2 linked regions of the Nothobranchius furzeri genome follow. The protein of the gene in region 1 purifies or fractionates together with the protein of each later gene. This does not show direct contact. Links are inferred from orthologs where the notes say so. Each region holds a gene or a part of one and is shown in the gene's direction. Other genes may lie near its edges.

Region 1 (3,654 bases):
TGAGGTTAGTTATTCATAGTACAGTTATTCAACGCTGCTGAGCATTCTCCATAAGGATAGGCTCAACTAAAAGCTGGCTTGTGTTTATCAGAGTTTTTTGCAGAAAACGTGGGAGACTTTTTCATCTTCCTACGGCGTTTTGCAGACGACGTTTTGGAGACTTCCGCTGAAAGTCTGGAGCAGATTCTTAATTTCATTACTGTCTTTATGGGCAATGTAGAAAGGTACGTGACTTTTTCTGACATGACTTTGGTTGCGGTAATATAAAAAGCAATCCACTTTTCAGATTGTTCCTTGTTTTTTTGCTCAATAGGATGAAGAATCCTCATTTAAGAGCAAAGCTTGCGGAGGTGTTGGAGGCGGTGATGCCTCACATGGAGCCGCAGGCTCTGGGTGCCGCTCAGCCTGTTGTGTACCAGAGGGAAAGGGTCTTCTGCTCCTATAGATATGCTCCTCAGCTGGCCGAGGCCCTCATCACTGTGTTTGTTGACATTGAATTTACAGGTGAAGCGAGTTCTTAGAACGTTCAACTTGCTAGTTTTAAATGACCTTTTTAAAACTTACTAAGTTCGCATAGTAGACATCGACTGAATTTAAAAGCCATGTTGTGTTTTTGTCTTCTCTTTTACTACCTCCTTTTTTACCTTAAATATTTTTATTTGTACTATTTTGCTATTAGCACCGGGACACGGAGAAACGCCATGTCAATTCTGTGTGTGTTTCTCATATGTCAGTCTTGACCACGAAGAAAAATTACCGTAAATCCTCTAATACAGGCCGGTATTCAATTAAAGGCTGGGTCTCCAATTTTGGCCGGTGTCGGAGTCGGCGGAGGTGAATAATGGCCGGTCTCTTATTGTGGCCGGGTGGAATGTGGTAACAAGCAAGTACGGGAGCGGTTGTGTCATCGTCTCACTTTTGATTTGCCAGTGATAGACCGCGAGTGTAACTTTAACCGTGCGGAGACGAAGAGGAGGCGAAAATTTGATATCAAGTTCAAAGAGAACGTGCGCTGCAGAACACTGGGGAGCAATAGGGGTTGTATGAACTAGTCAACTTCACTATAGTGACTTTTTATGCCTGTCGTCGACTAGTCGCTGTCACGTGATAATGACCGGCAAGATGCAGCCCTCGGAAAAGACAGCAGCCTGCTGTCAGCAGGTGACAAGCTCCTGCGCTCGGGGGGGCAACGCGCTCTGCCAGAGCGTCAGCACTGACACGCGATCGTTCATGTCGGTTCATTTCCTTTAATGTTTTCTGTCTTTTATTTGCGCCTGATGTGTTTCGCTGCTGTGGAGCGGGGCACATCACCTTGTCCTCCGACGCACTGATCACTGATGCGGCCGGCAAGCAGCGAGCACTCCACTGTTTTTGCGGTTGGTATATCTTTTAGAACTGCAGTTCAAAGGTAACTCGTGAGGTGAATATATATGAACCCAGGTAGCAGTTTTTCTTAAGGATTGAGAGGAGATGCAGGAAGATAATAAACAGGCAGGACAGAAAAATAGTCAAATAAAAACAAGTTAGTTTTTGTACCTGCTGGTTGCAACAAACAGACACCATTGAAGGTAATCAGAAGTGAGGAACAGAAAATGAAATAATTATTTTAATGTTTAGAGCAGCAGGAACTCCGAGAGGCTGCAGGCGCATCAGTGAGTTTGCGGCCGCTGCGCAGGGGGAGGGGGGAGAGGGCTGAAGCAGAAACTACCATTGTTAAAAGAATTGTGTTTAACTTTGAAAATGTGGGCGCAATTTTAATTGTCAAAAACTCCAGCGAAACATTCGTTCATTTTGCTCAAATAGAAATAGAGGCCTGCGTCTAATACTGGCCCTCCTTCCAATAAAGGCCTGGAGCTTGATGAGCTTGAGTCAAATACAGACCCGGGCCTGTATTAGAGGATTTACGGTAATTAAATAAAGTTACCGTTTTAGCGGAACAAGATATAAGAAATGTAGTATTGGATATTAGGCCCGCCCAAAGGACCCAGGAAGCAACCATACCCCCGGTTGAATGTTCTATCATGCACCTTGAGGTAAAGGGAGACCCCTGCTGTTGTAAGCGAGTGAGATAGCTTCCACAATCCAATGAGAGAACCTCTTTCTGGACAGAGCCTTACCTCTAGCTGGATTGGTAAAACACAGCTGGTCACACACCCTGAGTTTGGTCTGAGCAGCTTTTCTTGGTGGCAGTGTCTTCTGAACAGTCATCCTTTTTGTTTTACTCTATGGGGTAAAATGTTGCACTAACGACGCTAACGGTGAAATAAAAGCAAATAGTTGCTCTGAAAATGTCTCAAGCTACTTTTTCAATTATCAACAACTCAGTATTACAGTGAAATGTATTTATCTACTCAACTTACCGTGTATAACTCATCTCTTCTGGCGCTGATCCGTAACTGGCAACAGCCACGAAACCAACGAACCTGCTTGTTTTGAAGCTTGGGCTGCAGTACTCGGATTTGACCACAGGATGTCATTCCTACTTCATGCACCTTGAAGCTGATTTTGTAAAGTGAAAGCTCTTCTAGCTTGGTTGCACATAGTTAGAAAATTGGGTGTTCTCAGTGAGGTGAAGAGTGTAAGAGCTGAATAATGACTGTGATGGTAAGCGTGTTTACAGTACATGCAGCCAGGGCCCGCCGCTTTTCACCACGCATCATGTGCCTAAGGGCGTGGTTAAAGATGTCTTGAGTCAGGCCATGCGGAGGTGTGACGTCTCATACCATAAGTGTTGTACCGAGTGAGTGGACTAAAAGGGAACTCTTTATAAAGAACAGCTGAACAATGTAAACAAGCAGATGCTAACAGTTTACTCACCTCTTATCTGTCTGTTCTCCAGGTGATCCTCATCAATTTGAACAGAAATTCAACTACAGGAGACCCATGTATCCAATTCTCAAGTACATGTGGAGCAAGGACATTTACAGGGAGAGCATCAAGGTAAAGTTTTTCACTGTTTATCTGAACTCGCGGTCTTCTCACCTGCATGCAGTGGTATGACAGTTGTGGTTTTAACAGGAAGCTGAAATGTTTGGAGTTTGGAGAGTTCCTTGTTGTGCTCCAGTTGAACTGATTAGATCATTCTCATTCAAAAGTTGTAATTACCAACTAAAAGCATTCTGTTAAGTTCAAACTTGTTTTTTATTCTGTTTGATATTTTTTCATTCAGCGTTTGGCCAACTATGCATCTGAAAACCTGGAGGCCATGAACCCCCCTCTGTTCCTCAAGTTCCTCAACTTACTGATGAACGATGCCATCTTTCTGCTGGATGAAGCGATTCAGGTGAGTTTCCTTGCATATATGTCGATGATCTGAACTTATTTGGTCATTTTTCAGTGCTTTGAAGTCCTCCCAAAATGATGTCGTCAGTGATGAAATTTAGATTTGGTCATGGGTTTTTGTGTTGAGCCACATCTCATACATTTACTTTTGTGTGTAGTACTTGAGTAAAATCAAGATCCTGCAGCTGGAGCGGGATCGAGGTGAGTGGGAAGGCCTAGCCCCTGATGCTCGAAGAGAAAAGGAGTCGAGCCTGCAGATGTTTGGACAGCTGGGACGCTTCCACAACATCATGTCCAACGAGACCATCGGGACACTAGCCTTCCTCACCTCAGGTCAGGCTCAATAGGCTGTTACAGATACAATTGTTTTGT
Region 2 (3,654 bases), on another chromosome or scaffold:
ACATTTTTGACTATTTGTTTATAATAACTGATACTTTTTACACCTCAGTCTTGATAGAATAGAATAGAAACATCTTTTATTGTCTTTCAGTGGGGACATTTAGGAGAATGTCTTCAACACCTTAAAATAGAGCTAAACACTGACACCAGCTTCCAGAGATGACCCCAGCTACACCTCTGGAGGGAGATTCTCTGTGTGACTTTTCGTTGTGTGCTTGTGTGTGTGATCAGTGCTGTAGCCAGGATACAGTTCCGGCTCCCAGATGGGTCATCCTTCACCCACCAGTTCTCATCTCAGACCAGGCTGCAGGAGGCCTGGGACTTTGCCGCTGAGGTTTGTGTCATTCCTTGTCCATGTTGTTGTTGTTGTTTTTATCCTCTCACAGGGTGTAACCAGAGCGACGTGGTGACGATGGTTGAGTTGGGTTATTTCAGGAAAAAACTGACCTGAGATCCAGGCTAGTTCAGTAACATTCAGATTTTTCCTTCATGAATAAATGGATCAGATGAGTCACCTGAACTGGAAAAGGAGTAGAATACCCTCTCCGGGTCAGGGATGAGGTCTTGCCTCAAGTGGAGGCGTTTAAGTATCTCAGGGTCTTGTTCACGAGTGAGGGAAAACTGGAGCGTGAGATCGATAGGCGGATTGGTGCTGCGTCTGCAGTGATGCGGGCGTTGTACCGGTTTGTCGTGGTGAAGAGAGAGCTGAGCCAGAAGGCGAAGCTCTCGATTTACCGGTCGATCTACGTTCCCACCCTCACCTATGGTCATGAGCTTTGGGCAGTGACCAAAAGAAGGAGTTTGCAGATACAAGCGGCTGAAATGAATTTCCCCCCAGGGTGGCTGGGCCCTCCCTTAGAGATAGAATGAGAAGCTCGGTCATCTGGGAGGGGCTCGGAGGAGACTCGCTGCTCTTCCACATTGAGAGGAGCCAGTTGAGGTGGCTCTGGCATCTAGTTAGGAGGCCTCCTGGATGCCTCCTGGGTGAGGTTTTCCAGGCACATCCAACCAGGAGAAGACCTAAAGGAGGACCCAGGACACACTGGAGGGATCATGTCTCACGGCTGGCCAGGGAACACCTTAGGATTCTCCAGAGGAGCGGGTCCAAGTGGCTGGGGAGAGGGAAGTCTGGGCCTCCCTGCTTTGGTTACTACCCCCGCGACACAAACCCGGATAAGCGGCTGAAAAGGGATGGATGGATGAACCACCTAATAGGTGTCGCACCTGATCTTGAATCAGTTTGAACATGAACAATTCTTCTAACCAGATCAGACCTACAGAATAGTCCTCCTGTATTTGAACCCTGCACTAAAACTAGGAGCGGTTTTTGGTAAACCCTTGTTCTGAGAGACCCGCCAGTTCTTCTATCTGTTTAATTAACTCTGTAAACTTTGTTTGTTTGTTGTTGTTTTTTTCAGCAAGTGGGAAATCGCTATGGGCACTTCTCTTTAGCGACCATGTTTCCTCGACGAGAGTTCACCAGTGAAGATCTAAGCAGAACCATGCTGGAGCTGGAGCTGAATCCCAGTGCGTCCATTGTGGTCCTGCCAGTAAGTGGTCCAGATTAAAGTTTACCCACTTATAAGCCAATAAAAGAGTTGTCACTATATATTTTACATTCAGCAGTTTTAAAGAACTCTAAACAGATTGTACATCTGTGCTCTTTATGTTTAACTGTCCAGCAGCCAGACCTTCTGTAATCCTGGATCCATGTTTTTCAGGGTTTCTGAAAGTCCGATTAGTGTTTTCTGGGCTTCTCTGCTTACCTCAAGACCCTGATAAGGGGGCAGAAAAGAATGAATGTACATTTGGAACATAGGCTGGAATTTGCTCATGCAACGGTTTCATCATCAAACCATCATTCTCTTTGACAACGTGGCACAGAACCAGGCTGGAGCCAGCAGATTGTTACAGAGACACTCTGGTTCATTAGTTAGATCTCGGTTCCACTGTGGGGTTTGGGACGAGGGTTTTCTGTACCGCTTGTAAAAGCAGTCAGCACAACCGAACTGGGTTGATGGCACTTTCGGGACCACTTCTGTTGTAGGTCCATGACAAAGTGGATCAGTGGAGAACAGAAATACAGTGGGGCAAAAAAGTATTTAGTCAGCCACCGATTGTGCAAGTTCTCCCACTTAAAATGATGACAGAGGTCAGTAATATACATAATAGGTACACTTCAACTGTGAGAGACAGAATGTGAAAAAAAATCCATGAATTCATATGGCAGGATTTTTAAATAATTTATTTGTAAATCAGGGTGGAAAATAAGTATTTGGTCAATAACAAAAATTCAACTCAATACTTTGTAACATAACCTTTGTTGGCAATAACAGAGGTCAAACGATTACTATAGGTCTTTACCAGGTTTGCACACACAGTAGCTGGTATTTTGGCCCATTCCTCCATGCAGATCATCTCGAGAGCAGTGATGTTTTGGGGCTGTCGCCGAGCAACACGGACTTTCAACTCCCTCCACAGATTTTCTATGGGGTTGAGGTCTGGAGACTGGCTAGGCCACTCCAGGACTTTCAAATGCTTCTTACGGAGCCACTCCTTTGTTGCCCGGGCGGTGTGTTTGGGATCATTGTCGTGTTGGAAGACCCAGCCACGTTTCATCTTCAAAGCTCTCACTGATGGAAGGAGGTTTTGGCTCAGAATCTCACGATACATGGCCCCATTCATTCTGTCCTTAACACGGATCAGTCGTCCTGTCCCCTTAGCAGAAAAACAGCCCCAAAGCATGATGTTCCCACCCCCATGCTTCACAGTAGGTATGGTGTTCTTGGGATGCAACTCAGTATTCTTCTTCCTCCAAACACGACAAGTTGAGCTTATACCAAAAAGTTCTACTTTGGTTTCATCTGACCACATGACATTCTCCCAATCCTCTGCTGTATCATCCATGTGCTCTCTGGCAAACTTCAGACGGGCCTGGACATGCACTGGCTTCAGCAGCGGAACACGTCTGGCACTGCAGGATTTGATTCCCTGCCGTTGTAGTGTGTTACTGATGGTGACCTTTGTTACTGTGGTCCCAGCTCTCTGCAGGTCATTCACCAGGTCCCCCCGTGTGGTTCTGGGATTCTTGCTCACCGTTCTCATGATCATTTTGACCCCACGGGATGAGATCTTGCGTGGAGCCCCAGATCGAGGGAGATTATCAGTGGTCTTGTATGTCTTCCATTTTCTGATAATTGCTCCCACAGTTGATTTTTTTCAAACCAAGCTGCTTGCCTATTGTAGATTCACTCTTCCCAGTCTGGTGCAGGTCTACAATTCTTTTCCTGGTGTCCTTCGAAAGCTCTTTGGTCTTGGCCATAGTGGAGTTTGGAGTCTGGCTGTTTGAGGCTGTGGACAGGTGTCTTTTATACAGATAATGAGTTCAAACAGGTGCCATTAATACAGGTAACAAGTGGAGGACAGAGAAGCTTCTTAAAGAAGACGTTACAGGTCTGTGAGAGCAAGAGATTTTCCTTGTTTGAAGTGACCAAATATTTTCTACCCTGATTTACAAATAAATTCTTTAAAAATCCTGCCATGTGAATTCATGGATTTTTTTTCACATTCTGTCTCTCACAGTTGAAGTGTACCTATGATGTAAGTTACTGACCTCTGTCATCATTTTAAGTGGGAGAACTTGCACAATCGGTGG

The links. The genes of interacting proteins can lie anywhere in the genome.
Region 2: the proteins of ube4a (region 1) and ubxn4 purify together in Homo sapiens (affinity purification with mass spectrometry; 3 studies listed by BioGRID and IntAct, counting the BioPlex papers as one, with this or other methods). This does not show direct contact. The link is inferred for Nothobranchius furzeri from reciprocal best matches to the Homo sapiens genes UBE4A and UBXN4.

What each region holds. Positions count from the first base shown.
Region 1 is NC_091753.1:38,236,511-38,240,164, forward strand, and holds part of ube4a (ubiquitin conjugation factor E4 A), read left to right. Parts: intron 1-91; coding exon 92-224; intron 225-313; coding exon 314-504; intron 505-2,839; coding exon 2,840-2,940; intron 2,941-3,169; coding exon 3,170-3,283; intron 3,284-3,440; coding exon 3,441-3,615; intron 3,616-3,654.
Region 2 is NC_091746.1:33,709,809-33,713,462, forward strand, and holds part of ubxn4 (UBX domain-containing protein 4), read left to right. Parts: intron 1-230; coding exon 231-333; intron 334-1,417; coding exon 1,418-1,549; intron 1,550-3,654. UniProt on the Homo sapiens protein: Involved in endoplasmic reticulum-associated protein degradation (ERAD). Acts as a platform to recruit both UBQLN1 and VCP to the ER during ERAD.